2 linked regions of the Schizosaccharomyces pombe genome follow. The protein of the gene in region 2 interacts with the protein of the main gene of each other region in a pairwise test. Each region holds a gene or a part of one and is shown on either strand. Other genes may lie near its edges. The genes, in order: pre5 and fap1.

Region 1 (17,142 bases), on a different chromosome or scaffold from region 2:
ACCACGAAGAGCAAAAGTTTTGTAGGTAAAATAAACATCTAAATCTGTAAGAACTTGAGCAGCCTCAACTCGGTTAAATTCCAAATGGTTTATAACATCCACACTTATATCACGAAATATGCTGGCTGCAACGTCGGAAGCGTCAGGAGTCGTGCGAATTTCAAAGTTATTAAAAAGCTCAAAAAATCTCTTGAAGGAAGGTAGCTCATTTTGCTGAGGAGTGGGCTGAAACGTCCATTCAGGAATACTTGGGCTAACCGGAACAATATGAACGAAATCAGATTCAAAAAACTTCCAGGGTTGAGATATATAAGGAAAAGTAAAGTCGTTTTCCCGAGATAGAATTAGTTGTTTATAGAGTAAGTCCAATTCCTCCTCTGAAAGATTGTCATGTATTGAAAGGGGATTACTTAGAGTTATCGAAGATTTCCTATGACGAACGTAAATCTCACATTGATCCAGTATCTCATTAGCAAAATCCTTTTTACCGAGATCGTTGTTAGCTGCGATGAAATATGGAAGGTTTATCAAAATTATGCGCAGGAAATTATCTCCCCAGACACTGGGTTTGGTTTCTTTTGAGATAGCGTCAGCCAGTAATGAAAATAGTGGCTTAAGGGTACCTGGTTGAAGTGCAAATGACATGCAAATGAGCATTCGTAGATCGACTTTAGCCTCGTAATAAAGAAAGGAGTTTAAATTCGTAAAATACTGTAAACAAAAATACGCAGCTGCTTTTTCTAAGATTAAAGGAACCCTTAATGAGGCTCTTATAATTAATGTAGCCAAATGAGGTATTTTGACTGGAATGATAAATGCACTAAGGATTAAATTAGTTTTCTGAAGGGACAGTATAAATTATCACTTACGTTGTCTGAATGCAATCTAAGATAGTTGAAATGGTTTCAGGATCATTAGCTTCACGACTAAGAGACATAGCAACATAATTAATGTCATCAGCAGCTACTGAATTTCCTCGAGGATCCGCCAAAAAGGTAATATCCTTTTTTATACGCGCTGCAAGTAGCTCTTGAGAGTTTCCTCTATGGGGACGAAATCCATAATTCTCTCCCTCTCTCGTCCTCTTTCTGGGTCGAGTTGATCCCCGATAAGAAGACATTTTGTGAGGAATGTTAGTGTCTTACTGTTGTTGGCGTATAGCAGAATTGTAAAAACACGAGCAAGTGTTCTCAAGTAACAATCAACTTAGAGGTAACGAATGGTATACTAAGTCGAGATGGAAATTGTAAAACAAAAAAAAAGAAAATCGATTTTCCAATGCGATAAAAACGAAAACCTTAATAAATATGATTAGAAAATTTTACAACACTGTAATATTCTATTTCGGTAAAGGAATAAGCATCCATTCTGCTTCTATATTTTCACCTTTCAGTGAATGAGTCCTTCGTTTTTTTTGACAAACAATTAAAACAAAAATTAGAGGATATAATTTGAAATCCTCATTCACCGAGATTTAAGTGAAAAGGATCTGTGTTTATGCTTGTTTTTTCCTTGCCAAGGAGCATTTCTGCCATACATAAACCCGTGGCAGGAGCTTGAGTTATCCCCCAGTTGGCGTGACCCGCTGCAACAAATACACCAGACTTGGTTGTTGATATTATCGGGATACCTGTTATTCTACTGGTAGGAAGGAACTTAAAAGATGCGTCTAAGTAGTTACTCTTCGTATTCTCCGAGAGCACCAAATCGGTCATTTCTTTCAATTCGATAATTTCAAAAGGATTAAAAAAACATCGATTACTATCTTTTGGCAGCAAATGGAATTTTGGAGTTCCCATAAAAATAAGCTGCTCCCGGTTTTTACTGAAAATTTCGGTTGTTTTGCAAATGTTTAGATTACCCATGGTATTTAAACAACACACAACAATGCTGTCGCCAACGGGAAAATTTCCTACCGATAGGTGAATTATGGGAATGCATAGACCTGCAATACCAGTAAATGGTAATAGATAACCAGTCCAAGGCCCAGCACTCACCAGCGTTTTATGCACCTGTGCTTTTATTATTGTATCTTCAGCTTCTTGTTTTGGAACGTATGTAATATGGTGTTTACTAACCTCTTTCACACTTCCAAATATAAACTTTACTCCTCGTTTTTCTATTTCTTTTGCCATAAATTGACAAAACAATTTTGGATTGATCATTGCAAAATCGTTGCCGGAACCGATACTAGAACCTAAATGGTTAGTCTCTATATGACTTATACAATAAAGTTATTATTTTTTTTTGGTAGCACTTATGAGCTTACATTTTTGCATGCGCTCTCGTTGAAGCCATTGCAAAGTATCGGGAACTTTGGCAACATTGGTATTGTCCCATTTCATCTTACAAAACCAAGAATTGGCAGTCCTATATTCCCAGTTTTTCTTCCCATCAAATTTTTTATCCAATCCTTCATAAAGCTTCAAAGCGAGAGTTGAAAGTGGCTGTATGATTTCATTCTGGCACAGTTTTGTCAAGATTGCAGAATCAATGCCGGAGCTACCTCCTGCTATTTCTTTTGATTCAAATATAAATATGTCCAATTCTCCTTTTTTGTATTCTTGTTCTTCTGTTAAGTAAAACGCCGTACAAATTCCAATAATGCCACCTAAAAATCATCGTCAGCATGCTCACTCATCATTTATGAAACTGTTGTTCTCCAAAATTACCTCCTACTATTCCTATCTTTGTCTTATTTCCTTCTCTACTTGTAGCGCTCATATTTGAAGTTGGAAAGTTGACTTGAAACACAATCATCTTGCTGTAACGCTTCTAAACATTACGTTATCCTCACCAGTATTTCCTTCAATCTCTCTTATTTTTTTACCATTTTGAGAATAAAATAAATAGCAATAATAATAATAACAAAACGGTTCAATATTCAACAGTTTTTGCCATTCAGAATGCCTTTCATAAATTGCTATGGCGAGATATACGATTCTTTCATGAATACCAAACGATTGTAAAAAAGGAAAAAAATTACAAAATACTCCTCCTAATCTATAAAGTCAAGTTCGCATAAACAAACGGATTTTTAAATTTTTGAAATGCCAGATTCACATTCTTCAGATAGTTTACATATTATTTACACATGCCTTAATTAAAATTACTGCAACCAGTTCATTGAGTTGTAATTATATTTTGATTCCAAATAATCTACTGAAAACAGCTGTACAGCTGTATATGCAGAATGGTATTTCCAAAGCATAACAAATATTAGACATTTCACAACAATGATAATTGTTAAGCGATATCATCTTGAAAAGTTTATTTTACCGACTTATGATCGACAATCAACAGAAATATGCAAAATAAATTAGTGATGGTATGGATGTAATCCGTTAAATGGTATTCAAGCACTTTGTTCTCAGTACGTGCTCCAAAACATTACATTGCTGGAGATGCTATGGAATTTGATTTTTTTTCGTTTGTTGCTCCTTCCAGAGTTCAATCATTAGTCCTTCCTTTTGGTCGTGTTAGAAGAAAAAGTTTCTCGTCCTACCTACAATTACTCCGCAGAGTAAGTCATATTCAGTTGAGTGATGTCCCTGTAGCTACTGCTACTAGAAAATGTATGTTTCTTATTTTTATGATTATTGACTAATCTTAATAGCGAGTTCTTTCAATCCTTTGGCTTTTCCGTTGGGCAGATTGGTGTACAATTTCCTAACCAGCCTTGATGATCAACAAGCTCTACTAGAAGAATTTGAATATTTTCGGCGCGTTTTCGTTCTTATTGGTATTGTAGATGGGTCAGAGGAACAAGAAGTTGAGCAATTATGTTCTACCTTGGATGTTTGGCGGAGAAGGATACCTCATGCGTTAGTTGCAAAATGCATCGTATTTAATTGTCCAGAAGACAAAGAGAATATATTTAATGCTCCCAATATCATAATAGGACCAAGGTCTGATTTTTCAATAAACTCCGTAATGCGGTCTATTTTATGCGATATCACTGCTGAGTTGTTAGAAGGATTTAGTTCGCTCGAGTTTTCTATACACGCGCGTTCCGTGATCCTTTCTCCAATTACTGACATGCCACATTTGGCTCCCTTGCAAAGGAAAAATTCTAATGCGTCGATTCACTCCTTAGGCTCATCTTCTCGTCCTACTTTGACGAGAACTCCCTCGATCACATCAAGATCTGTGAATAGTGTAACGGAACGATCCAAAAGTCTCTCAAAGGGGCGTATTGAGAACCAATTTGGCCAGCTATACTTGCTGGCCGGCAGAGTTCCCAATGCGTTGAAGCATTTCTCAACAGCCATAGCGCTTTCTAAAGCAACTGGAGACTTTCTTTGGCAAGGACTTTCGTTGGAGTTATTTACTGTTTGTCTGGTTATAATGGCTCATTTGCATGTGGACGTCCAGATTCCTCCTAATATATTATCCATGTTCCCTTCTTATAATGATAGATTGAATGCCTTTGGACCACTCAAATTTGATGCACTATTAAACTTTATCACAGAAATGCGCAACGTAGTTGATCAATTATATCAAAAATCCACTCTTCAACCTAATGATGCTGTCCCCGGCCTCTGTTTTTCCGAGAGTATCCTACGGTATGCTCATTTACTCACAGTTGTTTATAGTTGTAAAGGATTTAACGACAACGCTTTGGATCATATTATTGCTCAAGCCCCCATAAGACCTGTTAAAAAAGCTACAACGTATGTACCAAATAAAGCAACTATTTGTCAATGGATTATGAGAGCCCAAGGACAGCATCTTAACTCTCTTTCAATTCGTGAACGTTGTCGCATATACGGGGCTATGGCAAATATGCTTGGAAGTATAGGATTTTCTCGGTTAAGGGTCAAGATGTTGCGTGAGTTGGTTGCGAGTTTAACACCTGTACTATTAGAAACGCGTAGGCAAAATGCTTCAAAAAATGGAATACATCCGGAGGTTATTGCTTCGCATACCGCACAATCCTTTAAAAGCACTCATTACTGTAACATCTTACCTTTGATATCTGAAATATGTCAAGAATATGGCCTATTGAAAACTGATGGTAGTCTTCTAAATCCAGAATTAACAAAATGGGGTTGGTCAAATTTACAATTTGATGTTCTTAATGAGCTTATATCCCTTTGTGATTCTCTATCTGACTATCGCAGTATTCTTCTTTTAATTTCTTTGTTTTTTCTCACTTCTGTTCAAACTGCTTCTTCTTCCCAACAAATCTCTATGTTTAAAGCTTTTAGAAAAACGTACCTATTTGCTAGCAATGCTGGTATACACATTAACGCTCCATACTGGGACCCATTTATGATAACGGATTTAAAGTTCATTGGTTCGTCCGAGAATGCCGAATTAATTCATCAACGGTTAAGAAACGGGTTACCAAAATCAATTGAAAAAGGACCATTCATCTATAATCCATTTAATAGAAGACAGGACCAAAACCAATCGAAATCAGTCCTCGTTGTCGATGAACAAGTTGCGTTTTCGATCTATTTTCGTAACCCTCTTAGTGTATCAGTTGAAGTGCAAGATGTTCATTTAGAAACGAAAGGGGTTTCTGCAAAATGTTCACATTCTACTTTTACGATGCGGCCACTATCTATAGAGCGTACTACACTTACTGTAACTCCTACGGAAACCGGAGAATTACATATTGTTGGTTGTCGTGTAAAAGTCTTTGGCTGTGAGCCAATTCTGCAGTATGTTTACGAAGCAAAGGATAAACACAAGTCATTGCACGTTTACCTTGAGAAAAGTAAAGACGTCAATGCTGAACTTCGTTCCTTGGATACCATCGACCATTTATGGACTTACTTTCCGTTTAAAAAGGACTTGAAAACTAAGTCATTTGATTGTATAGTTATAGCTAGCCAGCCGAAATTATCGCTTGCTTTTCAAAACCTAACATCTGGAAAGTTTAACTTTGCTGAATACGAAACGGGTGAATTGGTGTATGTAATTGAAAATACGTCTTTTGTTGAGGCATCTCACATATCTGTTCTTTTTGAGGACAGTTCATCCAAAGCTTTTGAGCAAGCTATAGCGGATAAAAGTATCACAGCAGATCGATTATATGAACTCCAATTTGAAGAATTTAACCTCCCAACATTTACTGTCGAGAGTAGCCAACCGTTTTCACTTTCACCAGGTGAGCGCAGGGAAATTCATATTAAAATCCGGGCAAAGCCAAATTCTCAAGAAGGATTGATATTATTTGAAAGTAGTGTGCATAAGCCTGAAGACACAGAATTTTATGTTAGACGTCTAAGAATCCCGGTTTCTTTAAACATAAGTAAAAGAGTGGATTTGAAACAATGGTCTGCGTTTATGGATACTGAAGGAGATCCCAGCTACTGCTTGGTGCTATTAAACTTTTATAATCATTTCTCTGAGCCTTTATTTGTCACGGTTAAAACAGCAAGTACCGATGAGTCCCGATCAGTTTTAATCAAACCAAAAGCTGATAATGTCATATTATTCCGTTTAAAAAGATTTATTATGTCCTCTGAGGAAATCAATCTTGATATTCCAAACTTATCTACAAAGCAATTCGTACTATCTAGCGGATTTAAAAAAAGTATCGAGGATAGCTATACTATGAAAAAGCGTTTTTGGATTAAGGAGTATTTTCTAAAAGAAGTTCAAGCTTCTTGGAAAACCGACGATAATCTTCACCATGGAGAGATTTACTTGAGAAATCATATTTTGTCTGACGAAATGGCAAATAATCTATCTATTCTACCAATTAGGATTCAGGCTTGGGTTAGCTATGATTCTGAAAAAGTCACCACGGTTTGTCCGCGAGAACCATTCAAACTTGTTCTTGAATTTTTCGGTATGCAATTATTGATACTTCATATTCCTTCCTATGTCTTTTAATTTTACTAATTTCTATAACAGGTCATGCCGATACCAATATGCGTTATAAAATATCGTGGACTCAATTAAATACTCAAGCTAACACTTCTTCCTTCAACGGACTAATTTTAGATGGCCCAGAAGAGGACATTGTATGCTTTAACAATTCCAAATGTCATGTCGTGATCGAGCGCAACATGTTTGCATATACAACAGGGATGTACAATATATTTGTTCGTATTTTTAACGAAGAACTACAATTGCTATCGCAGCCTGTTGACTTGGATGAGCCCATACTACTAATTGTTGATGCGAAGTAACTCATGTCATTAATGTTCGTCTATATTACTCTTTTTCTTCCATGTCTTGAAATCTAATAGTTTTGATCCGAAAATAAATAAATTTTACATATTTTACTCTTAACCATGCTATTCAGTAAGCGCTTGGAAGAGTGTCCACGTTCAGAGGTATCAGGTCGTATTTATAGTTTCATGCGTACAAACGTGAAAATTATATAAAATTGCAACTTAATAATTTAGCATCAAAAGAATCCAAGGTATGCTTGCTTTGTAATTATTATAAGTGGAATACGTTCTGCCCCCACTTAGTACCTTTTATTTCTAATATTTAGCGCAGGGCTACGAGATTATTAGAAACATTAGCTGAACGTGACCAGAACCAATATGTTTAGAAATCAATATGGTAAGTAAAATAGAAGAAATTGGTCTGCTAACTTTATAATTAGATGGAGATGCGACTACGTGGAGCCCTCAAGGAAGACTCCATCAAGTAGAATACGCATTAGAAGCTATTAAACAAGGATCAGCTACGGTTGGACTCGTTTCCAAAACACATGCTGTTCTAGTCGCTTTAAAGGTATCCACAATTTTATTTTACTAGGGCCTCCATTAACTTTCAAAATGTAGAGAAACGCAGAGGAACTTAGCAGCTACCAAAAGAAGTTGATTCGCATTGATGACCATATTGGTATTGCTATAGCTGGTTTGGCTCCTGACGCCAGAGTTTTGAGGTAAGGCATTTAATGGATGTAAGACAGTCATGCAAAAACCGTAATCTCTATGTGTGTTTGCTTTGGTTTTTGAAATTGCTATCGGTGGGAATACTTTTTTTGAGAGTATTACTAGGCATAATGATTTTGTATATTACAATTTACGTTTGTTATAATGGAATATTAACGCAACAGTAACTATATGAAGCAAGAAGCTTTATCGTCTAAGACTTTGTTTACTCGACCTATTCCTGTCCGTCGTCTAATGAGCAAGGTTGCTGAAAAGGCTCAAATTAATACTCAGGAGTACGGAAGGAGACCTTATGGTGTTGGGTTTTTAGTAATTGGGTACGATGAAAGTGGTCCACATTTACTCGAGTTTCAACCTTCTGGCCTTGTTCTAGAATATTTGGGTACTAGTATGGGTTCACGATCCCAGTCTGCTCGTACTTACATAGAGCGAAATTTGGATACATTTCCGGATTCTAGCAGAGAAGAACTTATCCTCTCAGCACTTAGAGCTTTACGTGATACTCTTTCAAAAGACCAAGAACTGACCGAAGAAAACGTTTCTATATCCGTCATTGGAAAAGATGAAAAATATACTCTTTACGATCAAAATGACACAAAAGAATGGCTTGATAAATTAGGCGACAAAGGTCCCGCGGCTGCTCGTGCTTCTAGGGCTGCCGCCGAAGAACCTCAAGCGCCTACTGCGGAGGCTATACTTGACTCTGCTGATGCCATGGAAACTGATTAATTGCCATGATTCAAATGATACCTTTCTTAAGTACATATGTCATAGAATTCCGAAAAGATGATTATCCTTTATAGGGATTTTTCTTAGCTATCCTTTTTATTCCTTCGACAATTACGATTTCTGGCATGTCATTTCCAAGCTATTAAGTTGCTGGATAGAAATCTAGGAAATTTAATGAAAAATAAATGTTAACTTTGTGCATAGGAATGTATTATTTTATGTAATTTGCTAAGTAATTAGATGAATGGTGCTATACTTGATACGTTACTTATTATATTTATATGAATTAAAAATAATAATTATTAGATGTTCATAACAATGACCAATGTCAATAGTGTTGTCAATAACAATGCCGGAAACAAATTTTAATATTCTGCTGCACTGAAGTATTTATTGCATAAAGGGACTTTATCATATTTGAACAATTGCTGTATTAAGTATTGAACTAAAACCTCAATTGTCTTTCTATGAAATTTTCATGAAAACTTGCTTCATCATTTGTTCGCCTTTTTTTAATTCAGCCAAAATGTTACGAAGATTAACGAAAAAAAGTCAGAGAATGTGCTGCTTTTCCGCTGCTTGTTACAATGCCATTGCTTTGTCAGATCAAAACCTTCGTATCTTGCTTACATAAACTTACCCACAGCACAACACTTTGAATTCCAATTGCCGAGCCAATATCCGGAATTTTATTTAAATATCGGAATTATTTTGTTTTAAATAGTTCATAAACAGTAATTTGTTTGTATTGTCATTATCGCGGGGTTGACTCCTTCATTGACCATTTTGTGTTGAATTCAGCGTTTGCACCGTTACTATGAGCCAAGTGAAAGTCGCGGTGAGAAGTGAGGAAGCAGCTAATTCTTATACGCAAACGTTTGGCATGTCCTGGAGGCAATGGCGTCAAGCATGCTCTGAAGAATATGCGAAACAATGTGAGCGTGAAGTCCTGCACACTGTCGATTTTATTCGGGAAAATGAAAAGGACCCAGAAAGGTTAGTTGAAGTTGTAGATTCCAAAATCTACGATAATGATGGATTGGTACATGAGGTTTGTGTTAGTGATAAAGCAACAGGAAAAGCGAACAAGCGAAGCATTGTTTACATGCATGGGTATGGAGCTGGTCTTGGTTTTTACTTTCGGAACATGGATGGTTTGACTAAGGGTGTGACAAAGGATTTTAATTCTTATTTTGTTGATTGGCTAGGCATGGGAAACTCGTCAAGACCGCCTTTCGATATCAAGGGGCAAACCGCTTCAGAGAAGGTCGAAGAAACAGAGAGGTTTTTCACTGAGTCATTAGAAACATGGAGAATCGGTCATGGTATCGAGAAAATGATCCTTGTGGGCCATAGTATGGGAGGTTATTTGTCTGCTGTCTACGCCATGCAATATCCGGAACGTGTTGAGAAACTCTTACTAGTTAGTCCAGTTGCCATTCCTGAAAACCCTTTTGCAAGCAACGATGATGCGGAAGTTTACAATTCCGTTGCTTCCTCTGCTGTGCATGCTGTTATGGATGAACCTCCTTTAAGTAATGTTACTAATGAGGTTCTGCAAACCCAAGAGGAAACTACAGGTTTAGAGCCTTCCCGGCCAAGCAAGCCAAAGAATCCTCTTCCAAGATTTATCACCTTCTTATGGGAGCAAAATGTTACACCATTTTCTCTACTTCGTTTAAGCGGGCCTTTAGGTCCTAAACTAATGAGTTTTTGGTCTAGCAGAAGGTTTTCAACGCTTCCCCCGGAAACGTTTAGGGCATTACATAATTACTGCTACTCAATATTTCGTCTCAAGGGTTCCAGCGAGTATGCACTTGGCAATTTGCTCGCTCCCGGAGCTTTCGCTAGACGATGTATTATGAATCGCTTGCGCATGTTGAAGTGTCGAACTATATTCATGTATGGAGATAAAGATTGGATGGATGATGTTGCTGGTTTAGAAGCGACAAACAGATTGAAGGAGATGAATATTGAGGCGGAGCACCACATAATTTCAAATGCTGGTCACCATTGCTATCTTGATAACCCTGAAGATTTTAATGAGATTGTACTAAAGGAGATACGAATGAGTTTACGTTCTTTTTCTTCGATTTCAGAGTAAATTTTTATTTTTTATGCCCTTCGCTTAGTGCTTCATTATTTTTATTTATTCTTTCTTGTCCTGCAAACTATCCCATGTGATGCTGTTATAGACCTCATTCATTAATTTATACTACACATTATTCTTTGGATTCCAATTGAACGACTTTTTTTTACCTAACTTTTTATCGGTCCATTTTGAATCGATTTTTATTGCATTGACGCTCATTTGCTTCATTTATCGCAATTTTATTTTTTTGTCCGATTACTTGTCCAGCATGTGTTTTCAAATGTTTTATTTTTAAAATGTGCCTTATAAATCAAATTTTGTAATATTTGTAGGCCATTTACTACAATTAGCTTATAAAGTAAATAACAGTTTTTGTGGTTGTCTATTTTAAATTCTATCCTATAGAGTAATTGGAAAAATACATTTTTCTTGCTCTAAGCTTTTCAAACGTGAAGCATATTTCGTACTTCTAAATTTCAATTCAAACAGAGCATTCAACGGTAATGTATACTATTGCGCTTAAACTTGTATCTACTCTCCCTTCTTTATGTTTAATGAAGATATAAATTATAAACATCATACAGTATTACAAAAATTTATTGTAGGGTATTGCAATTGTATTCGTTGTTCTAAGACTTCTCTACTCTAAGTTGCCGTTTCCTGATGGACTGTGTGTTTCCATTACCCTCCACAAGTTATGCTCTTTTCATATTATTTCGAAAATTTTACTTTTTAATTCTTTTTTAAAACTAAAATATATATTTTTTCTATTTTATTTCTTTTTTAAGCGTAAAAACCGAACCTTTTAAAAAACTCCTTGGATTAAACTTTCGCTTTGATTACCATCTGCAACTGCAAAACCAGTAAGCGATTTTGCAAGGTAAAGATCGCAATACATGGTTCAAAAGGTTTTAAGCCGTCAATCGGATAACTCTCAGGATGTGTCTGCTGAACAGCTTGATGTAGTGGAATCCGGTAGCATTGATCAGCAAAATATACGTGCATGGGTTGTTCGCAAAGTCAAAGAAAATGATAAAAGGACATCTACGAACCAAAGTTTTAAATGGGAAGCTGTAAAACCGGCTTCTTGTCTAGATGCTGCGAATGAAAAATTCATGTACTTACATGGAGGACGAGAAAAATCTGGTATTTCAAACTCTTTGTTTAAGTTGGACCTGGATTCATGCACGGTTTATTCTCACAATAGAGGGGAAGACAATGATTCTCCTGCTCGAGTTGGTCATTCTATCGTTTGTTCTGCTGACACTATTTATCTTTTCGGAGGATGCGACTCAGAAACAGATTCCACATTTGAAGTTGGCGATAATTCATTGTACGCATACAATTTCAAGAGTAATCAATGGAATTTGGTTTCAACACAGTCCCCCTTACCATCGCCTCGCACTGGACATTCTATGTTGTTAGTTGACTCTAAATTATGGATATTTGGGGGTGAATGTCAAGGAAAATATTTGAATGATATACATTTGTTTGATACCAAAGGGGTTGATCGGAGGACGCAATCAGAACTCAAGCAAAAGGCAAATGCAAATAATGTTGAAAAGGCTAATATGGAATTTGATGAGACTGATTGGTCATGGGAAACACCGTTTTTGCATAGCTCATCCCCTCCACCTCGTTCAAATCACTCAGTTACTCTTGTCCAAGGAAAAATATTTGTACATGGAGGGCATAATGATACTGGTCCATTAAGTGATCTTTGGCTTTTTGATTTAGAAACACTTTCATGGACCGAGGTTCGTTCTATAGGAAGATTTCCAGGTCCGCGGGAAGGTCATCAAGCTACTACAATAGATGACACGGTTTACATTTATGGTGGTCGTGATAATAAAGGGTTGATACTCAACGAGCTTTGGGCTTTTAATTATAGTCAACAGCGGTGGTCCTTAGTCTCAAATCCGATCCCTATTTTGCTTTCTGATTCATCTTCATACAAAATTGTTTCAAAAAACAATCATATTTTACTATTATATCTTAATGCACTTGACGCTCCTAAGCAACTGTTATGTTATGAAGCAGATCCCAAAAATTTGTATTGGGATAAGGATAAATTTTCTGATATTCCTGTTCTTCAGCATATTAGCATGAAACCTTCAAATGCTTCAAACCACACGGTTTCTCTTGGTTACCTAAACGACCGTCCTAATCATTCCAAAAAGAATTCTGTGACATCCACCTCGTCTAGTCAATTTAACAATTTTTTGGAGCAAAATCAAAAAGCCGTAAGATCAGCTAGGCATCGGCACTATGCTAGCTTGGATGAACAAGGATTACATTCTTTGAGAAACCTTAGTAAAACCTCTGGAATGAATCATTCAGCAGATTTCTCTCTTCACGAGTTTGGGCAAGCTGACCCCTTTGCTTACGAAATTGAGAAACCTATTGCGTCTCTTCCTTTACCTAATGGAAACGATACTATTTCTAGGTCTTCCGAATCTTCATCTCCAATCAACGAAAGTGAAAGTAATTCTCTGCTTAAACTCCAATCAGATTTTAAGTTTTCTAATTCTGATGATCGTGTAGCTTGGCTTGAGGAGCAACTGTTATATTGTATGCAACAAGGCTATACTCTCAAACCTCCTAACCTGTTTCAACACGTTGATGAAAAATTGAGGCTTGAGAAAAAAGAGCAGCTCAGTTATTTGGAAATACTGAAGGTGATTGAGCAAATGCTTGAATCTAATGAACAAAAGTTTAAAAAGCAAATCGTTAGCCTAGCATCTGAAAACGCAAAATTGGCTGCTCAGAGAGATGCTGCCGTGGAAAATGCAAATTATTCACGTTCACTGATCCAGAAAAAGACAACGGACGAAACTGTTGGATCTTTAATAGAAAAAGTTGGAAAGTTAGAGTACGAAGTTCAAGGGACTCTTGAAGAGGCAACCTCTTATTATCAAAAAAATACTGAACTTCAACAGTTATTGAAGCAAAATGAATCCGCTTCTGAACTCTTAAAATCTCGAAATGAGAAACTTTGTGTAGATTATGATAAACTTCGTAGTGTGTTTGAAGAAGATTCATCAAAAATACTATCTTTACAAAAAGAAAATGAAAACCTACAATCACAGATATTGCAAATTTCAGAAGAGTTAGTCGATTATCGTTCTCGTTGCGAGGCTTTGGAGTATGGAAATTATGAGCTGGAAACGAAGCTAATTGAGATGCATGATCGAGTGGAGATGCAGACAAATGTGATTGAAGCATCCGCTAGTGCTCTTGATGTGTCCAATACTGCCATATTGTCTTTTGAAGATTCGCTCCGTAGAGAAAGGGATGAGAAAAGTACGTTGCAACAGAAGTGCTTAAATTTACAGTACGAATATGAGAATGTTCGGATTGAGTTGGAAAATTTGCAATCTCGTGCGCTAGAGTTGGAGTCAGCCTTAGAACAATCAGTGTCTGATGCTAAATACTCGAAAGCTATAATGCAAAGCGGATTATCAAAGTTATTATCTTCTATTAACGAAAATAAAGATAATCTTAAAGAGTTTTCGAAGTCGAAACAAAAGATCTCCTACTTGGAGTCTCAGCTAGAAGGGCTTCACGAGTTGTTACGTGAGTCCCAGAGACTTTGTGAGGGTCGCACTAAAGAGCTACTAAATTCTCAGCAAAAGCTCTATGATCTAAAGCATTCATATTCCTCTGTAATGACAGAGAAAAGTAAACTTTCTGATCAGGTCAATGATCTTACCGAGCAAGCAAAAATTACTCAGCGTAAGCTCTCTGAGGTACAAATTGCATTGGCTGATTCAAAAATGAATCAACAGTTATCAGGAAAGGACTCTACTGACGTTCATCTTCCTACGGACTTTTCAGCTTCCTCCTCTCCCTTAAGATCATACTTTAACGAAGAGGATTCATTCAATAATGCTAGTGCTGCACATAGTTCAAAAGAATCTGACATACCTTCTGGTGGTGTGTTTACAAAATATCGTAATCATTTTGGTAATTTGATGACATCTGAAGAAACAAAAGCCCCGGATAACAATGATTTACATAAAAGACTTTCTGATGTTATCAACAGTCAGCAAAAATTTTTGTCTTTGTCCCCTCAGGTATCTAAAGATTATTATGATGTTCGCTCAAAACTAAATGATACCGCGGGCTCATTTTCAGGTGAAGAAATGCGTGCAATTGATGATAATTACTATGCCAGTCGTATTAAGCAACTGGAGGATGATTATCAAAAAGCCATAACATATGCCAATTGCTCAGATGAGTCATTTCAGCAGCTTAGTCATTCATTTATGTAACTCTATTCATCAACTAAGGATTTTTTATCTCTTTTTTGGTTTGTACAATTTTCTTAATAATTTTTTGAAGTGGTTTGATTTTTTCTACTTAATCTCAAGTCGTTTGACTACGTATGTAAATTACCACTATATTTAACAATAAAATACGCAATTATTTCTACTGCATTTACATTGACTCATTTATATTTTAAAAAGTAATGAAATTTAATTAACTTTTAAAAAGTAAGAGAAAATTTAAAGTATTAGATTGATGAGGATACTCTCAAGTGCAAATTACTAAACTGGTATTAAATGCTAATTCCTTAACCACGCGAACAAAGCATATGATGAATTACGTAGAAATAATTAAAACAAACAAAGACCTGCAAAAAACCATTAAAGATTCATCCATTTTTTTCAAGGGTCAAATTTGAAGTTTGCTCTGCAGTATGCGAAGACTGCTCAGAGACATTAGTAGGGCCTAGCAGTTCCGTCCAACTCAAAAACGTAGGAGCCGTCCATTGTTTATCAACTTCCAAATTGAGAACTGGATCCGGTAGAAAAGTTTCAGGTGTGAGCAAACTGGGTTGGTTACTAACATAACTTTTGTTTAGACCCGGAACATTATAGAGAGATGATGTTTGGTCAAAAGGTTGGAATGCTTCGTTTGGAGTACTATTACTACCATTTGAGCTTTCTCCTGTAAGCTTAAAGGTAGAAAGCATGTCTCCATGTGACATATCTCCCACCCAGGATTGCCAATTTTGAAAACTATTTTGGAAATCTGCAATCGGATTATTAATGTCTGGGGCATTGCGCCTAGATAACTGTTTGTTAAATGACTTAAGGTAGTTTAGACTTTCTCTAGCAAATTCACACCTTGAACTCAGAAATTCCAATACCTGCCATAATTTTGTGACTACAGCTTGAATATCCTGAGAGTTTTCGTAATGAAGAGACAAGAGTAAAATAGGTGCGCTTGCAAATGGAACATGCAGCCCGAAAAACGATAAGCTGGACAAACACTTATGTGTTAATAAAAGATGTGCTATGTTTATGACCCTTGTTGCGCTTTCAACACATAGCTGGATGTAGCGACGATTTTCAGCAGTTAAATCTTTATCTTTTAATTTCTTTACCATAATAACTCTCGTAGTAAGCATAATCGCATTATCATATATCATTTGAACATGTGCATTTGACCGGAAGAGTGGATGCTGAACAGCCGATTCATCAAAAACCACAGAAGAATGTAAATCACTTTTCCAAAGCTCTAGACGAGCATAAATCCTACGGACAGAATTAACTTGCGATTCAAAGCTTGGAGAAGGGTTCCAGTACAGCGAATCGCAAATCTCATTTGTTAACTTAGCCAAGTTAATAACGGCACGCATGTTTTCGACGATAGACTGAGAACCCGGTATTTCTAAATCGGGCAATATAACAGGGTAAGGTATAGAAATGCATTCCAAAGGTATGCTAGGGCGTCTTCCAGTAGTCATGCTTACAAAACGGTCAATACAGAAAACTGACCACAACAATCGGTTTCTCAATTCCTTGGAATTTTGGGTAAGAGAAGGATCATCAGAGTTTTTGTGAAGTCCTAGGGCAACCGCAAATTTGATCGCCAAACCAAAATATGCAAAACTAGATTTTTCATAAATGGTAGATTGAAGATACAGACCAATAAGTAGGGAAGATTGAACTGCACTAACGTCTGATTGTAAAAGGACGAGTGGAAAAATGCTCAGCGCAGCTGAAAATAATCTGTTACCAATGTTGGAGGCATGAAAATTCGACTTGCTGACATCTTCCTGTTGTTCTGCCGTATACTGATTGCCAAAAGCAAGAACCATAAGTAGAATGCACAAAAATCCAGCATCAATTTGGTTTTCCATCGCTAAAAAAATCTCTAATCTACATTTGAAAAAATGGGGATGATAAACAAACAAATTGGTTTGGACGTTGATAAAAAAAGAATTGATTAAAAATTCAACCACAGCTTTGGAAGGGATCAAGCTTCTTGCATGTAAAAGTAATTGTTCATCAAATTCGGAATATGAGACGGAAGGTGATAAACGCTTGGAATACAAATCGTCTTCAGAAATTGATTCAAGCTCCAATTCGTTTTGCAAACGTTCAATAAACGCCTCAGAGGTTGTTGGTCCAAGATAAAGCGTATCTTCAAGTTTCCCTACTT
Region 2 (17,142 bases):
GACGATTGATGATTTAAGTTTTGCTTTAGAAGAAGCGGACCGGGATTTGGAACTGACCATATTGCATATTACTGAAGGTCACGCCTCCAAATGGGGTGAAGTTAAAAAGAAGCCAATCCCTAAAACAAAGTCCAAACCAACAAGTCATGCTCCAGTTTCCGATAATGTCTCTTCCACCTTTCGTAATGCTACACGTAAATCAAAGAAACCTTCCGCTTCTAAGGATACTTCTCGGGGGGTTCGAAAATCAAAAGCAGGAGCTCCCTCAGATCCTTCTTCCGTTCATGCACCATCCTCTTTAGAAAAGCCTGCTGGTACTGGCGATCTTCCTTCCTCAGAAATTTCTACCAAAGCTCCTGCATCAACGACAGTGTCTTCTTCCGTTGATCCTGGTACTATTAATGAAGATTCCTCAATGAAAGATCATACTACATCTAATGAACAAGCTTCAGTTTTAACATCGGCTAATACCGCTGCTTCAACAAATACGAACGGCACCGCAGGCGGTACTTCGGCCTCAGCAAAGTCGACCAGTGCGGCTGATCAGGCTGTTGCATCTTCAAAGCCTATAAAGAAGGCTTGGGCTTCAGTTGCAAAGTCGAAGAAAAAGGTCACTCCCGCTCCCGCTCCCGCTCCCGAATCCGAACCTTCTAAACCCTCTATCGCTCCTTCTCAACCCTCTAAAACTAATGTTTCCGCTGCTTACGAAAAACCTGCTGAACTGTCATCCTCATCTGTTCCTTTCCCTCACAAATCCCAGGACTCTGCAACTCCCGCAAATGTTGAAACGACCCCCTCCACAGCTACCTCAGCTCCCAAAAAGAGTACTGCCCCATTTGCCATAAATGCAGTCAAGCCCGCTCCTGGGCTTTCCAACATCTCTTCTGCTTCCCTACCTAAGCCCTCCTTTGCGAAGCAAGCCGCTGTTGGCTCTCAAAGCTCTACAACTAGTATGACTACTGCTCGATTACTTTCTGATAGATTCCCCGTCGTTATGCCTGTTGCTAATACTGCTGCTATTCCCGAAAAGGTTCAAGTGCGTTTCGGAAGCTTGACACTTGGGGGTGAGGACAAAAAATCGACAAAGTCTTCTTCAGACAACATAGCACAGTCTGGACCAAGAAGTTCCTATTTTCCTAAAAAGACAGTTTCACCAAAGCCAGAGGCAAAAAAAGAGGCGAGCAAAGTTGCTGAATCCACCAAAATCCCAAAGAAACAACACACTTCAGCATATGAAAGCCGTGCTCCACAATCGAAGGTTCCCGAAAACTTGAAGGAATCTCATGTTAACGAGACACCATATCGTGGTTTACACGATGTAAATTTACCGGCCAGTGGAAACGCCTCTTCTGTCTCGGCCATCCCTCCTCAAGTATCAGCCCAAACGACTATACCCGCTGCATCCACAAGTGCTACAAGTGGCCCGGTGGTTGGTAAACAAAGTGCCGGATATGGCGGTATTTATTCTCCTGCTACACATGGAATTTCCCCTCAACCATATGCTGGTGCTAGTCTTATTCCTCCGTCTACCGGAGCTGCTTTTAACAACGAAACTGCATCTTCAAATGCTGGGGAGACAACTGCACTTCCATATTCTTCTAGATTTATGAATCCTGTGGAAAACCGCTCCGCCAATAGCCCATTCGACAATTTTCAACACATCGACCATAGTACTGAATTGGGATATGCTTCAAATACTTCTCAACAATATCAACAGACTAGTCATCCAGCATACACTACTATGTCTCCTATTGAATATGGTCAAGCTGCACCAGCAGCTCATTACTATAATGAGCGTAATCAATACTCACAATATGATAATGTCGCTGGTAGTGCGTCGAATACACCAGATGTGCACTCGGTAATGCATAACAAGGTTGCATCTTCTAATGCTACTTCTCTACCTGCTGCTGGAACAGCGACTCCTAGCCCTGTTGTTTCTCAACAACAGCCCCAACCTTATGCATTTCCTCCAATGTATCCTATTCCTTATGTGTCTTATGGATACGGTACGATGCCTTACAATAATAACAAGTTTGGACAGCCCCAGCAAGGATACATGTCTCAGAGCGGCTTTAATGATTTCCCTCCCATCTTTGGTGGACACAGCAACGTGTACAACAGACAACAGCCTGGCAATGTAAGTGGTATGAGTGGAACACAAACTAGCAACCCAATTAATAATGCCACTGCAAATACTAGCGGCATGACTGAGAAAGCGGCTGGACATCGTGACTCTGTGATTGGAAATGGAGGCGTAACCGGGGCGAACAGCATGTCAAGTACTTTGGGTGGTTTGTCTTCCATGTCAGGGATGGGACGTGCGGCTCCTGGTATGTTTATGGGTAATGTTGGAAGTTTTGAAAACCTTAGTGCCAATGCGGCCTCTCCTTATGGCTTACCTCCTCAACAAACGCCATTGACCAATGCTGCTACTCAGCAGACAACCTCTTTTCAAAGCAATGCTAACAAGGTCAACAATGCAAACAGCCAACCCGCTGGGTTTCCGTTCAACTCTGGAGCATCTACCAATGCAGGTAGTAATGGATTAGGAGGCTATAATGCATACAACCAGTCATTTATAAACCGACCAGGAGGTTGGTACGGTAATGCTTAAATTGAACTTATGATCAAAAAGTTTGATAACGTAGAAGTTGGAAAATGCTTTTTATAAGGATTCAAAAATAGGCTAAAAATAATTGCGGACAAGATGCTATTAATGGAAGGGTAAAATCGATTTTATTGGGACAATCGAATTTATGAAGTTTTTCAATATATATATGTGTGTGATTTATATGGCTATGTGGTCACATGTGTTTTCTGTTTGATAGTGCTTAATTATGTAGTTTGAAATGTTGCTTGTTCATATCATAACATATCATACCACGCCGTAATGTTGCCATTATATGGTAATTCCTTGTATGTTCATAGAGTATTTTTTTATTGCATTATTAAAACAAACTGGCGTTTTGGAAGAGGGAAAGGGTAAATAAAGATTTGATGTTAAGGTATTTGTAGGTGTGGGTAAGCAATGCGAAGTGGGATAACTAGTTTCAAGTAATGATTATTATATTTCCAAAAGTCAAGTGCTAATGAAACACGTTTAATCAGTTGGCAATTTAGGGGGGTGGTTCACTCGGCATTCCTATTTTAAACAATTTTTGACGGCAAATGTTAAGCGAATTCGCTAAAGCAAAGTGTAAAAAAAAAAAAGCTTCGCTAGTAATATATGCCACACTTCAGTCAACAACACTACGTCAACCCTATACGCTAAGTCTACTGAATAGAAAAACTTGATACTTTTATTTACATTGAAATGAAGAGCAAATTTGTATAATACGTATTATTGATTCTAGAAATATAGCAAATTGAAACATCCAAATTTAGCAAAACAGCATGTCGCTGTTGTAAAATTCTCATGAAAAAATAGAATGTCTAACCTTCACTACTGGCAAGATTCGTTCATGTAGATGTAGTTGAAGAAGAGACAGTGTCATACACAAACGTAGAAAAAGTTCTGAAAAGGAAAAAGACTCCTAGTAGATTATAATTCAAATCAAATCAAACCAATTAAATTCAATAGATCGATGTCTTGAAACATTAATTCCTATAAGGTTGAAAATAGTAGCAATATAACGCAAAAATAGCGAGTCGTAATAGCAAGTAAAATGGTAGTCATTATAAAGGGTTAACTGTATTTCAAGTATAAAGAACGGAGAAAGTTGGAGCAATGGCAATAACACATCGAGGAGTAATTTAGGAAAGTAGTGAGAAAGATGTTAGAAAGGAAATTTAGTAATTTGTAAGTAATGATTTCAGAACTTGGAACGTGAAAGGGAAAAAGATATTTTCATCATAAAGAAAAATTTGCCCATCGTGAAATAGAGAAATAGTGAGAAGAAAACCACCACCGAAATAGCGAGACCCGCAGTATGTTACTTCACGAGTCTCGCTATTTTAGGATTGCATAGGTTATCGGATGGAATCCAGTAAACAAATGGGTAAGGAAAAGTGCGATCAATGATGAGTGGGTTGGGTTACAAATCAATATAGTCAGGTGAAATTAATTCGTTTCTCGATATAAAAGCAATTGAGAAAGGAATTGGATAAAATTTACAGAGAATTAAAAAATGGAGACAAGAAATAAGTGAAATGGGAGTGAACGCTCTTGTAAAAAAGCTATTGAGACAAGTGAAACGGTGAGAGAATGCGTTGACAAATGTGAAAGAAAAGAGAAAAGGGAATGAATATTTATAACAAAAAAAGGTAACAGGATTATCGATGAATTTTGGGGAAAATTTATGTTGAATTGCATGACTTTTTAGAAATCACGCCTCGAATACCGTTAGACATATCATGGTAAACATGTGATTTAGGAATTGGCACATGTAAATGAGGTTGTTGGGTAGAGAGCGGATTTGAATGGTGGTAGATAATTTAGGGTAAATTTGGGATGGATAGAGTAAATGTGAAAATAGTATGTAGGATGGCGGGGGATGCGTGCGAAAGAAAAAGAACGATGCGAAATGAATTGTAAAGTATGTGACTTGGGATGATGCGAAAAAAAAAGAGTCTGGAATAAAATTTGAAGAAGAGAAGAAATACAGTAGGTGGGAGTGCAATGAATTGAATTGGAAGCGAGGAAGCGAACAAAATCGATGGATAACAAGTGAATGAACAACAAAGTGAATTTAGTTTAAAGTCAATTGCTTTGTTGAAAATCAATTTCCTCTGTTTTATCAAGTGTGCGAAGGACAAAGGGAGTAAGAAAGATTCAAAAAAAAAAAAGAAAAGAAAAAGAGGAATTCCTTTTATGAGACATCCAGTTTGTTTGCGAGAACGCCAAGAACTCAAGCGAATATGGAGAGACGACGGTGAAACACGGTATGTTGCATAGTGTAGTGCGGGGTGGATTGCAAGGAGAATGGGTAAATTAGCAAGCGAGCTGGACCCCATTACTGTGATGCATGAGGTAACGCAATGTGCTAAAATGTTTTGGAAAGAATGACACTCTACGTTAGGATAGTGCACGTTGTTGACACTGCTCGTTATGGAGGACAAGGAAGAAACTAGTTCGGCCGTTTGAAGGGAATGGGAATGGGAATTGAATGAAGAAAGAATGGATTGAAGTAGTCAATTGATTAAAAACTCATATTTTTTTGTGTTACTCATTGACCTTTATGAAGACAACAATTCTGGGTTTCCATTGCTTACAGTGTGTTTCCATAGAGCAAAGTTCTTTTTTGATGGCTTTGTTTTTACGTTGCATTACTGTGTTATTCCTCACTCTCTGTATGTGAGTCTCGCGCTGTTTCAGCTGCTTCCTCCTGCTTCCTTCGGTTCCTTTTCCTTTCTTATCGGACGGTGGCCCGCCAAAATTAATTTCGCCTACATAAAAAGTGACGCAATAGAAACTCTCGGAACCAGTATGGACTTGAGGATGAGCGCATCCCGGACCTTGAAAGGATCCTCGTCGATGGTTGATTCGTCAGCTCATTCACATAAGGTTTCTCTAGAAGGTGAATTAGGGTTCTTTCAATCCGAATCCGCCAACCATCACAAGACCTTGTAACCGCCCCGGAAACTCAAATTGTCCCAACTGCCGATCAATTTTTTCCGAAGAAACAGCTTACGATTAACCGAAGGAACGTCCTGGGCAGTCAAGCGCAGAGGAACATAGTGCAAAGCGTCGTAGTTCAGTATAGTCGGACAGCAGAGTATTGTTGAACTCGATAAAGTAGGGGGGGAGAGAGAGAGAGAAAAAGGAGTGGAAAGTGGTAGTAGGTAAATGAGAGATGTCAATAGAAAGCAAAAACTTTATACAATAACAATCTCAACATCAACGATTTTCCTTTTCCAACTGAATCTCTTTTCCAAACTGTGCACTGTAAACAATTGTTCTATATCTTCTCCTTGTTATTCTATGTCTTCTCCTTCATGTTCCACGTCTAACCCGCTCCCTTCCTACCTTTTCGCTACCCTCCTACCCTCCTACCCTCCTCCATCCTCCCTCACAAACAGATGATGTTAACGAGACTTTGCACCTCGTTATTCCCGAGGAGCCGCTGGGATGCCATGAGCCTTGCTAATAGCCCTGTTAGCACGGTCAAACAAAATCATGCAATTCAATGCAAGAATCGTCAGCCTAACAACAGCTAACTGGGCCAACCCTCTAAACATTCCATTCCATCTAGGCATTGGAAACGCCATTCCAAGGGCGGATTGATGGATGATGGAAGGGACGAGACTGACACACACAGCAGATATACTCGATGACTATTAGTGAAGTGAGTCGATGAATAGTGAAGTAAATGAACATTTTTATAGAATCAATAGAAATGGATTGAATCCAATTGCATTCGAAATTTCACAGTTGACTTGGATTTACCACTTGTCTCATTTCTCCCACTTGTCCTCTTGATTACTATGCTATGCTATGCTATGCTATTCTCTTCTCTTCTTCTTTCCTCTACACTCATTGTTTACATTTCTTTTTCTTTTCCACCGCCATCCCAACTCATCCATTCCATGCCATTCCATCCTTGCCTCTCTCGTTCCTGTCAAGCGAGGCGAGGGAAAGGTCAACGCAATGCGTCGATTGTTGTATGATTATGAGCCAAAAATATTCGCATGGGAAGTTATCTAGAAGGCCGCTAATTTCATTATCCGATCTGCCAAGTACCGAACACGGAAATCGCCGCTTACGATACCGTCGTTGGCATGACAACTCTAGCGTAAACACATACAATATAAATAGGAGTGGTAGGCCAGTCTGCTTCTTTGTAGTATCAAGAAATCAGCAATAGTACTTGTTTGGTTTTGAGAAATAGCAATCGAATTAATTAGGTATGTGATGCGCTGTGGCATTGGCAAAGCATTGGCTTGGTGAGACATGTGACATGTGTCAAACACCTGCCAAGAGGGAAAAATAGATTGAGGAAAAGGAAGGGATATTTTCTTTTGATATTCTCTTTTAGTTGAAAAAGATGGATTTTGAGCGATGAATTGAAATGAAAATGGTCAGTGAGATTGCCAAGAGAAGAGGCTCTCTGATTTTACTTGACATGACGAAAACATGTCATATCCAGTATGGTGAAATTGTACAACGAAGTCGTGATAAGATTCGTTAGTTTCCGTTTCTTTCGGTAAAGAAGGCTTTATTTTTCGCTTGACGGCAGTTTGGTCAGAAATTAAAATAGACTTGCCGAAAGCGACAAAGCTGCTGTTTTTAGTATACTTTCTTTTCTATTCTTCTCTCAATAATGATATCTTTTCTTTTAATGACGCTCATCGTTTCTTCTTCTTCTTCTCTTCGCTTTCTTCCCTCTCTCGCTTCTTTTTGCCTTTTTCTCTCCTCTTTGATCTCTTCTTCTTACTAACTCTTTTCAGATAACAATGGCAATTCCTAAAGTTGGTATCAACGGTTTCGGTCGTATTGGCCGTATCGTCCTCCGTAACGCCATCCTCACTGGCAAGATCCAAGTTGTCGCTGTCAACGATCCTTTCATCGATCTTGACTACATGGCATATATGTTCAAGTACGACTCTACCCACGGTCGCTTTGAGGGCTCCGTTGAGACCAAGGGTGGCAAGCTTGTCATCGACGGTCACTCCATCGATGTCCACAACGAGCGTGACCCCGCCAACATCAAGTGGTCTGCCTCTGGTGCTGAGTACGTTATTGAGTCCACTGGTGTCTTCACTACCAAGGAGACTGCCTCTGCTCACTTGAAGGGTGGTGCCAAGCGTGTCATCATCTCTGCTCCTTCCAAGGATGCTCCCATGTTCGTCGTCGGTGTTAACTTGGAGAAGTTCAACCCCTCCGAGAAGGTTATCTCCAACGCCTCTTGCACCACCAACTGTTTGGCTCCCCTTGCCAAGGTCATCAACGACACCTTCGGTATTGAAGAGGGTCTCATGACCACTGTTCACGCTACCACTGCCACCCAAAAGACCGTTGACGGTCCCTCTAAGAAGGACTGGCGTGGTGGTCGTGGCGCCAGCGCCAACATCATCCCCTCCTCCACTGGTGCCGCCAAGGCCGTCGGTAAGGTTATTCCCGCTCTTAACGGTAAGCTTACCGGTATGGCTTTCCGTGTCCCTACCCCCGATGTTTCCGTTGTTGACTTGACCGTCAAGTTGGCCAAGCCTACCAACTACGAGGACATCAAGGCTGCTATCAAGGCTGCCTCTGAGGGTCCCATGAAGGGTGTGTTGGGTTACACCGAGGACTCTGTTGTCTCCACCGACTTCTGTGGTGACAACCACTCCTCCATCTTCGATGCCTCTGCCGGTATCCAACTTTCTCCTCAATTCGTCAAGCTCGTCTCTTGGTACGATAACGAATGGGGTTACTCCCACCGTGTTGTTGACTTGGTTGCCTACACTGCTTCCAAGGATTAGATTGCTTCTTTCGATTTATTCCGTCGTCAATCTATATCTCTCTAATCAGCCGTTGTTAAACTCCAAGCTATTCAACTGAACATGCGTTCGGTTTTGGGGGGTCTTACATATGTGCGAACTTTTGGTTTTTTATTCTTATGCTTGTTTTCCCCCTTTTCCTTTTCTGGGGTTTGCTACGATAATGATAGACATGTATGAGATTTTCCTCTTTTATTCCACGTTATCATTTTGATTGCGCTCCTAGGGCGATCTCTATAGCTGACGACCTTTCTACGAAATAGATTAAGATATAATTTTAAATGAATTGTTTTTTCTTCACTTGTTTTTAATGTGTAAAAAATCCGTAAAGTATGTGGTGTATGAAAATTTTGATTTGAAATGTGGTAGTTTATTGGAGGTAAAAAAGGTAGACTGATTTATAAAGCATTATATAGTTATCATAGTTGCTTGTTAGCATTCTATTACCGTTTGCATTTGAGATAATTGTTTTCGTCTTGATGATAGATATTCGCTAAGATGTTTCCATAAACTTGGCCCACGCTTTTTTGGGTGAAGTAAATAATTTTTCAGTCCTTTTGAGGGCCTCTGCTGCCTATCTTTACTGCCCCTATTTGCAAGTTTCTAGAATGGAAGTGTAAGTCAAACGATAAGAAAAATTATATATTAATAGATAGCAATTTAAATTTAGCATTTTCATTCTTAGTGTTCGTTCACTCCACTTTCCAGATCAATCTCAGACCATCAAGTATGATGATGAAAGCGAGTGTTCCATTTAGGCGGTTCTCGCAACTCTTAATGTTTGATACTTAGAGCTGTTTGTGCTTCAGAAAATTATTCAAAAAATTTCATGCTTGCATTTGATTCTTTTCTGGATAACAGCTAATCCTGTTTTTTGTATTTTGTCCTTTGGTTTTTTGATACCGCATTGCTAGTCACATGTACCCTCATAAAAAATACAGTTATATCTAAGCGAGAAACAATCGCTCGATTGCGAGGCTCATCTATGGAACTGTTTATACTTGTGTCTCATGTTCCAATAGCTTGAAAGTGTGTTTAAGCATGAGATTGTTATTTAAATTATCAATTCATATAGTAACAATATCTGCTTTGGTGCCAAACATTTGAATTCCTTACGAACTAATAATAAGATTGCTTCTCAGATTTCTCAGTGGAATACTTCCATTAGTAACTGCACCATGGGAGTTTGAAAGCTGCTGTCTTTCCTTAAATTACAATAGTCCGTGTAGAAGATGAGTTTTTGGTTCGTTCAATATGTGACTACTTGTTCACCTATCTTTCGCTTCGGCTCGTACTCTACTTTTCAACGCCTGCTACTTGGCTGAACCTCTTAGTAAGTAACGGATGTAGAACGGTTCTTACCAAAGCCAACGTCTCTCTAATCGACATTTATTTCAAAATTCTATCAGTGGAGAGTATATATTGAGGTTTATAGCTTTTACGGGCCTCGAAAACCTCGTGTAGTAAAATTTGAAATTGTTGGGAGAAGTATGACCTTAAATCCTTCGACTCTCAACAATGGAACTCTTGGGGACCTGAAAGAGCACAAGGATGTCGTCTTGTCTAGCAATGCGCAGACCGATGAGAAACGTTTCGAAGAACCGTCGCTAGAGGTGGGAGGATCGTTAGCGAAAGTGGAAAATGGCCTTTCCACATCAATTTCATCATCTGCAAGCAATTTGGAGGGACAGCAAGCTCCTTTCTTTACTAAGCAAAATTCGTGCTTGTCACGCTTTCGTGAGCTAGCTCAGACTTACAACATACACGAAATTAATCTCGAGGAGTACGTTTCCCAGATAAAAGAGGTTAAACAATCTCTGTACTCCGACGATAGCGTATTTAATGAATCCAAAAGTTCTTCACCTCCAGATGCTCATACTGATAAATATTTCACTCCATGTGGATCCCCTACTAAGCTGATACACTCGACACTATTGGAAGAGAGAGATACTCCGTCCTCCCTAGAACATGTTAGCTTTTACCTTCAAGAAAGCGCAGTATCAGAAGTTCGGTTTGATAAACCTTCAAACAATGGTCCTCTAGGGAGGTCATCCCTAAATCTAAGCTCCCTTTCACACGAGTTACAAACTTCACAAGATTCTCCCTCCTTGTCGGCTACGAATCAACTATCCTCATCAGATACGTTGGAACCTCTCCAATACCCACCATCTTCATTTGGCTCTCAAAGACAGTTCAATGCCTCTCAAGATTCTCCAAAGCGAAGCCCTTCCAAGGGATCTTGGTCCTCTATCCTCCGCCGCCCCTCTCTTACTTACTCTCCAAAACGTCAGTCCACTGGCTTGCATCGTCGTTCTTTAACGAATTATTTTAAATTTCCTCATCGTAATGCACATCAACATAATGCAATTGCTCATAATCCTTCCGTATTTGGTAAACCTATCGGCGATTTAACGTCAGATCCCACAAATCTTTGCAAATTTACATTTCCCACTCCTGAATGTGCACCTCCTTCTTTGTTGCTCCCACATATTTTTGCTCAATGCGTACATTTTCTATCTTTAAATGCTTTGCATGTACCGGGAATTTTCCGCATTAGTGGTTCTGGTCCCGTAATAAAAGCAATCACAGAATACTTTTATTCTCCACCTCATTTTTGGCTTGATGAAACATCAGAAATTTTTAAGCGTATTGGATTTCCAAGTTATATCGATATAGCAGCTGTCTTAAAACGGTACATTATGTTATTGCCAGGTGGCCTTTTTACGCATAAAGATATATTGAATCTTTTAGTACCATTATACGTTGATTCAAGTAGAGTAAAGGTTCCTATAGACATCCGGAATGAAATGGCCGCTCTTTGCTTTTCACAAATAGATTCTTACGTGCGCTTTTCTATCCTTTGCTCTCTACTAGCATTATTGCATCAAATAGCTACACGGACTCAAGAGTTGGAAAATGGAATGGAAAATACCAAAGACTCTACTTTGATGAAGCCGGAAGCCCTTGGTATTATTTTTGGTCCTTTATTGTTGGGTAACTCTTCTACTGATCTTTCGAAATCTTGTCCTTCTGGAAATGTGAATGACCTTATGAGATTTGAAACCGAAAAGGCTAGAGTTGAAGCCAAGATTGTAGAGGGACTGATTATTCACTGGCCAGAGGTACTACTTAAAATCAATTCTCTCGACATACCCAATTGTTTTTCTGATGTTGGGTTAACTGACCAAGTTGCTATTTTTACTCCTGCAGTCCCGAAAGAAGATTCTCCAGAACAGATACCTGAAAATGTGAATGCATCTGAGGAAAGTTATCCTAATGTTAAGCATATCTCGAAGCTTCCTTTAATCAATGACTCTTCCGATAATGAATCGGGTAACCAAGAAAATGATGATGCTGTAGCAAATGAGAGTACCAAAGTCGTTGTTGACAATCAACAGCCCCAGCCTAAGATTTCCACCGTTTCTGATACTGCTGTTCCTTCCATGAGTTTTGCTAATAACATTTCATCGCGGTCGGTTATTTCAGCTGCTACAGATAGTAAACCGTCAACTCGCACATCACCGCCATTCGTGAACAATACAAAACCGATCGTCGCAAAGTCACCGGTCACTGTTACTGCTTCTTCGGAAACCAATAAAAAATCGCAGAAGATTAATAAAAAGGCATCTCCAAGGGTCAGTTTGTGGACAAAACTGTTTGGTAAATTCCGATCAAACAAGAAGAAATCTTAAGAAAGGATTTCTGTTTTCGGTGTCATTTATTTATCATATATTACAACCATTTGTTTGCTCTTAAAGTTTAGGTTCATTTTGATATTTTTTGGTTTCATAGTAGTATTTATTAAGATATGCATGTTAGTTTTTCCATGTCACATGTTTTATTCAGGTGTTGAAGGGATAAGTTTATTATTTGGAATCAACTACGGACGAACTTTTATCATCTTCTAAAAAACTAATCATTAATAAAATGTGATTCATGTCATTAAGTCAAATAGACTTCCGAACTGGCAAACGGGGTTGAGACGGTAAAAATATAAAGAGATGAAGGGTAATATAATGTGCCAATAAAAATAAAAATTAAGAATCTGTGTCCTGTTCAATTAAATGCAATGCCCGGCCAGATAATAATATAACATCGCCTTCACCATCTTCATACTCTCCATTATTAGCATCTCTAGCAACTATGTCATTAAGTAATTCGATGATATCGTCGCTAGATTGTATAAATGCAGTTAAACGTGGAACTATAATGAGTTAGCTAAAGAATATATTCCGTATATCGTGTGTAGACAAAATCGTCAATAAATTCTCTAAAAAAAACTTACCACCAGCCTCTAGTAATTGTACAATGGTCCAAGCAGCAATATGGGCAAAAGTAGAATCTTCACTACTTAAAAACCTGACCAGATAACCATGAATGCCACCAGCTGGAGAATCCCAACACTCTATGAACCGGCTATAATCATCGACATTAGAAGAAAGATTACCCAGAGCAGCCGCAGAGTTGCCTTGGACTTCAATCGACATAGAGTCTGTCAATGGGATTAAAACATTACAAATACCAAAGTTAAGAAGATACGACTTGAATTCGTCACTTAAAGCAAGAACGGCTAGACAGGCAGTCATTTCACTTTGCACGCTAACAGGAGCATCTAAAATTAAACAGCGAAGTTTTTGAATAGCATTAGCTTCGATAATAGCGCGCTTATTTCTCTCCGAGCTAGCAGCTAAGTTTCGTAAGGTAGAAACAGCATGACACTGTATTTCTTCATTTTCCGTACAAGATAATAAATCCACCAACGGACGAAGAAAACCAGCATCAATTATCGGAGACTCATTTAAAGGATGTATAGAAATGTTACGGATACAGGCAACGGAAGCAAGTATTAAAGGAAGGTAGGAAGAACGAAGCAATCTTAATAAAGAGGGTAGGGCATTGCTTTGAACAATTTCTATTTGATAACGCTCATCAGAGGCAAGGTTTCTTAATGCTAAAGCAGCTTGGCACTGGACTTTAGGACTTGAAGTATCCATTAATTGAATAAGAGAACGAACGAGTTTCGGCTCACTTTGGGCAAGTCTTTTACGGTGTACTGCATCAACAGCAATATTACTAATAGAAGTAGTACAATAGTATTGAACGTCAGTGTCAGAGCTAGGAAGCAAAGATACTAGCACTGGGATAGTACCAGCGCTGACAAGTTGCTGTCGATTTTCATCTAGTATCATAGTTAGTTGATATCCATAGATTATGAGACAACCACTAATTGAAACTTTTTGCTCAAAACAAAGCTCAATAGATTAACAAATAATTAGCGACAAATGTATAACTTACATGAGTGAGTCATGTTTAACAATGCTCCAGTTGCATTTCTTTGAACTCTAATGTCCTTGCTTTTGGCAAGACGGGTAAGAGGGCCCAAGGCACCAGAATGAGCTATTTTTGATTTATTTTCGTCAAGGGTAGCTAAATTAGTAATGCAACCGACAGCATTGCATTGGACTTCAACGTGAGGAGACATCATTTGACGAATTAAAAGGTCTAATCCATTCAATTTGACGACCAAGGCCTTATTCTCGGCATTTACAGCAAGGTTTCCTAAAGCAACGCTGGCAGCTCTCTGTATTTCAGCATCAGGACTCTGGAGTAAAAACAAGACGGGCTCTATAGTTTCACGATCAACTTCTCGAACATCTAAAAAAAGTGTGTTAGTCAATCACTGTAAAAAAAACAAAGAAAGAAAGTTGATAACACAATATATATATTCTTTCCGTTTTGTTAAATCAAGACCTCATTGTTCATTTCCGAAGTTGGGAATTGTTTAAACCAAAACTATTGTTTTTATGTCATTACCTTTTTCAGTAATTTCTGCAAACGCAAGCGCTGCTGAACGCTGTAGATCAAGGTTATCGGAGTATGCCAAAATGGTTAAAGCACGTAAGGGCTCCTCGCTGTAAAAGTTGACTTCATTTCTCTACAACAAGATAACGTTAGTCAAGAGAAGGTAAGAATTTAAAGTAATCGACATTCACTAACATCTTCAAGAAAGCTTAATAAATCCGCAACAGCTTCCCTCTCCCGATCGGCCAAAAGAGGCTCATACTGTTCATCTTTTGATTCTATGTATTTGTTAATAAGTTTTTGATTTAAAGAAGCACTCATACTCTCACAACAAGACAAGCAATTGCCCATCTGACTTTGTTTATATGATTGTTTAGTGTTTGGAGGAAGTTAAGTGACAGTAAAAGCAAATTGCAAGGACAGTTAGCAAAACAGGGTTGCTGTGTTATCCATTTATAACGTTACTTACAGTGTACAATAAACAAACTTATAAAATCCCAAAACCTCGCAAAGCTAGTTAACGAAGTGGAGTTTCGGAGAATTAAAATGTAAACAAGACAAGTGCGAAGAGTATTTTTCCTATAGAGTGAAAATAAAAGATATTGTTCATTTAAATAAAGACTAAAATATAATTTTTAAATAAACACCCGGTTGTTTTGGACCATAGTTGATTTTGATAACTCGGCATGACCTGTGCTAGCAAATTGGCACATTCCCTCTGCACGGCTCAAATCAGACTCGCTTAGTTGATTTATTTTCATTCTTTCTAAGTGACTAACTCTGTATCAAAAGAACTACTGCTAACATCAGAAGTATCAACAGACTGTGATTTTGCGATATCGATGCCTGACTTCGCTAGACAGCACCTTATCTTGGAGTACTAGTAGCTGGCAATGAGTACTGATAATATATATTAAGCCCGACTGCTAAACCACCTTTTAAAATTTAATTTAAACCGCATCTGTAATATTTTTGGGATTAAGAATGGTAAAGAATACTAGCGTAATCATTGTTGGTGCAGGTGTGTTTGGATTATCTGCAGCTTTAGAGTTGACTAAACGTGGTGGATATACGATCAAAATCTTGGATCGAGCACCTCCGCCTGTTATCGATGGGTCTTCAGTCGATGCAAATCGTATAATTCGTTCAGACTATGCGGATGCAGTGTATTGTTCAATGGGTATTGATGCTTTAGAGGAATGGCGCACAAATCCACTTTTTAAAGAGCAATTTTATGGATCAGGACTTATGTTTGTTGGCCGTGACAATGTTGAGTATCGGGACATGAGTCTGGAAAACCTGACAAAAATGGGTGTGTCAGCAGCAAAGTTTCAAACTACAGAAGAATTGCGGAAACTTTTTCCAAAATGGATTGGCGAGCTGAATGATGGAGAAGCTGGGTATGCCAATTTTAGTTCTGGATGGGCCAACGCTGAGCAGTCTGTGAAATCCGTAGTTAATTACTTAGCACATGCCGGTGTTTCTTTCATTAGCGGACCTGAGGGAACTGTTGAAGAGCTTATAACAGAAGAAAACGTTGTTAAAGGCGTGAGGACTACTACTGGAGCTTACATGGCCGAAAAACTTATTTTTGCTACAGGTGCATGGACTGCATCTCTTTTACCTAATGACCACACACGATTCTTGGCAACCGGTCAACCAGTCGCATACATAAAATTGACTCCTGAGGAGTACATCCGCTTTTTGACAAATCCTGTATACTTAGATTTTGATACTGGATTTTATATTTTTCCCCCTACCCCCGATGGTTATCTAAAATTTGCACGCCATGGATACGGATTTACGAGAATGCAAAATCTTAAATCCGGAAAAGTCGAATCTGTTCCACCAAAGAAACCTCTCGTTTCTCCTATCCTGCCCAAGGAAGCGGAATTAGATTTACGCAGAAACCTTCAACGTACTTATGGCGAAGAAATTAGTCAAAGGCCATTTTACAAAACCCGTATTTGTTATTATACCGACACAGCCGATGCCGAGTTTGTATTTGATTATCATCCAGATTATGAAAATCTGTTTGTATGCACAGGTGGTTCAGGCCATGGATTCAAATTCTTTCCAATCCTCGGGAAGTATAGCATAGGGTGTATGTTTCGTGAGTTAGAGGAGCCCTTATTGAAGAAGTGGAGATGGAAGAAAGAAAATTTGGAGTTTGCTGCTTTAGACCACAGCCGAGCTGGACCCTCTCGACAAGAGCTAAGCTAAGATGTGCAATGCTAAACAAAAGAAAGGCTAGCGTCTATCTTTCTAGGCTACCTTATTTTTGTGTTGAATACTAATTGATTCTTCTTCATTCGAAATATTACGAGCATTGAATGTATACACATTAACAATTAACATCAACTTTATAACATCCAGACGATTATGTCGGTTTACTGTTTTCGAATAAAAACAGGGACATTTTCTATACCCTTTACATCGAACTTTATGTCCTGAATTAATATTACAAAGCATGCTAAGTAAAACCTTTTTTTCAATTATTTTAGATATGCATCATATAGCTAACTCGTTGGCTTTAAGAGAACTAAAGCGTCACAGCTTACTGAGGTTGTTTTTGATACTTAGATGCAATTCAAACATTTATAAATAATTAAATTTGACAATCTAATTAGAAATAACATAAAAAAAAAAATCAAAATAGAATAAAATGATCAAGAAGCTTTTTGTTTAAATGCAAATACCGTACTCGCTTTTATTCGTTGTATCGGTTAAACGACGTTTTACTGTTACGTTATCTGCCAATCTCGGATTTACGTAGCATCAAGTACGCATATCTTACCGCAATATTTAGAGGCGACTTAGTTTGTTAATATATTATATTTTTACACTAGTTATTGGAATGTTAACATTTTGAAGAGCAAGATCGTTTTATTTTCAAAAAGATTTTGCTGGATTCGTTGT

What was found.
Region 1: the proteins of fap1 (region 2) and pre5 interact in a two-hybrid assay, tested with the Schizosaccharomyces pombe proteins (one large-scale study listed by BioGRID).

What each region holds. Positions count from the first base shown.
Region 1 is NC_003424.3:3,212,511-3,229,652, reverse strand, and holds pre5 (proteasome core particle subunit alpha 6 Pre5), read left to right. Parts: upstream 1-7,498; 5' UTR 7,499-7,511; coding exon 7,512-7,530; intron 7,531-7,543; exon of another isoform or gene 7,544-7,573; coding exon 7,574-7,704; exon of another isoform or gene 7,705-7,754; coding exon 7,755-7,858; exon of another isoform or gene 7,859-8,032; coding exon 8,033-8,597; 3' UTR 8,598-8,804; downstream 8,805-17,142. Other genes in the region: cbc1 (nuclear cap-binding complex large subunit), read right to left, coding at 1-820, 870-1,120; tda3 (FAD-dependent amino acid oxidase), read right to left, coding at 1,461-2,197, 2,270-2,611, 2,673-2,724; TRAPP complex subunit Trs120, read left to right, coding at 3,410-3,575, 3,617-6,805, 6,871-7,148; cardiolipin-specific phospholipase Cld1, read left to right, coding at 9,415-10,701; cell end marker Tea3, read left to right, coding at 11,586-14,963; DNA-binding transcription factor Thi1, read right to left, coding at 15,347-17,142.
Region 2 is NC_003423.3:571,336-588,477, forward strand, and holds fap1 (L-pipecolate oxidase), read left to right. Parts: upstream 1-15,207; coding exon 15,208-16,446; 3' UTR 16,447-16,926; downstream 16,927-17,142. Other genes in the region: RNAPII degradation factor Def1, read left to right, coding at 1-2,617; glyceraldehyde 3-phosphate dehydrogenase Gpd3, read left to right, coding at 7,396-8,403; Rho-type GTPase-activating protein Rga6, read left to right, coding at 9,912-12,113; protein Vac8, read right to left, coding at 12,459-12,625, 12,707-13,600, 13,717-14,076, 14,236-14,356, 14,419-14,501, 14,547-14,574.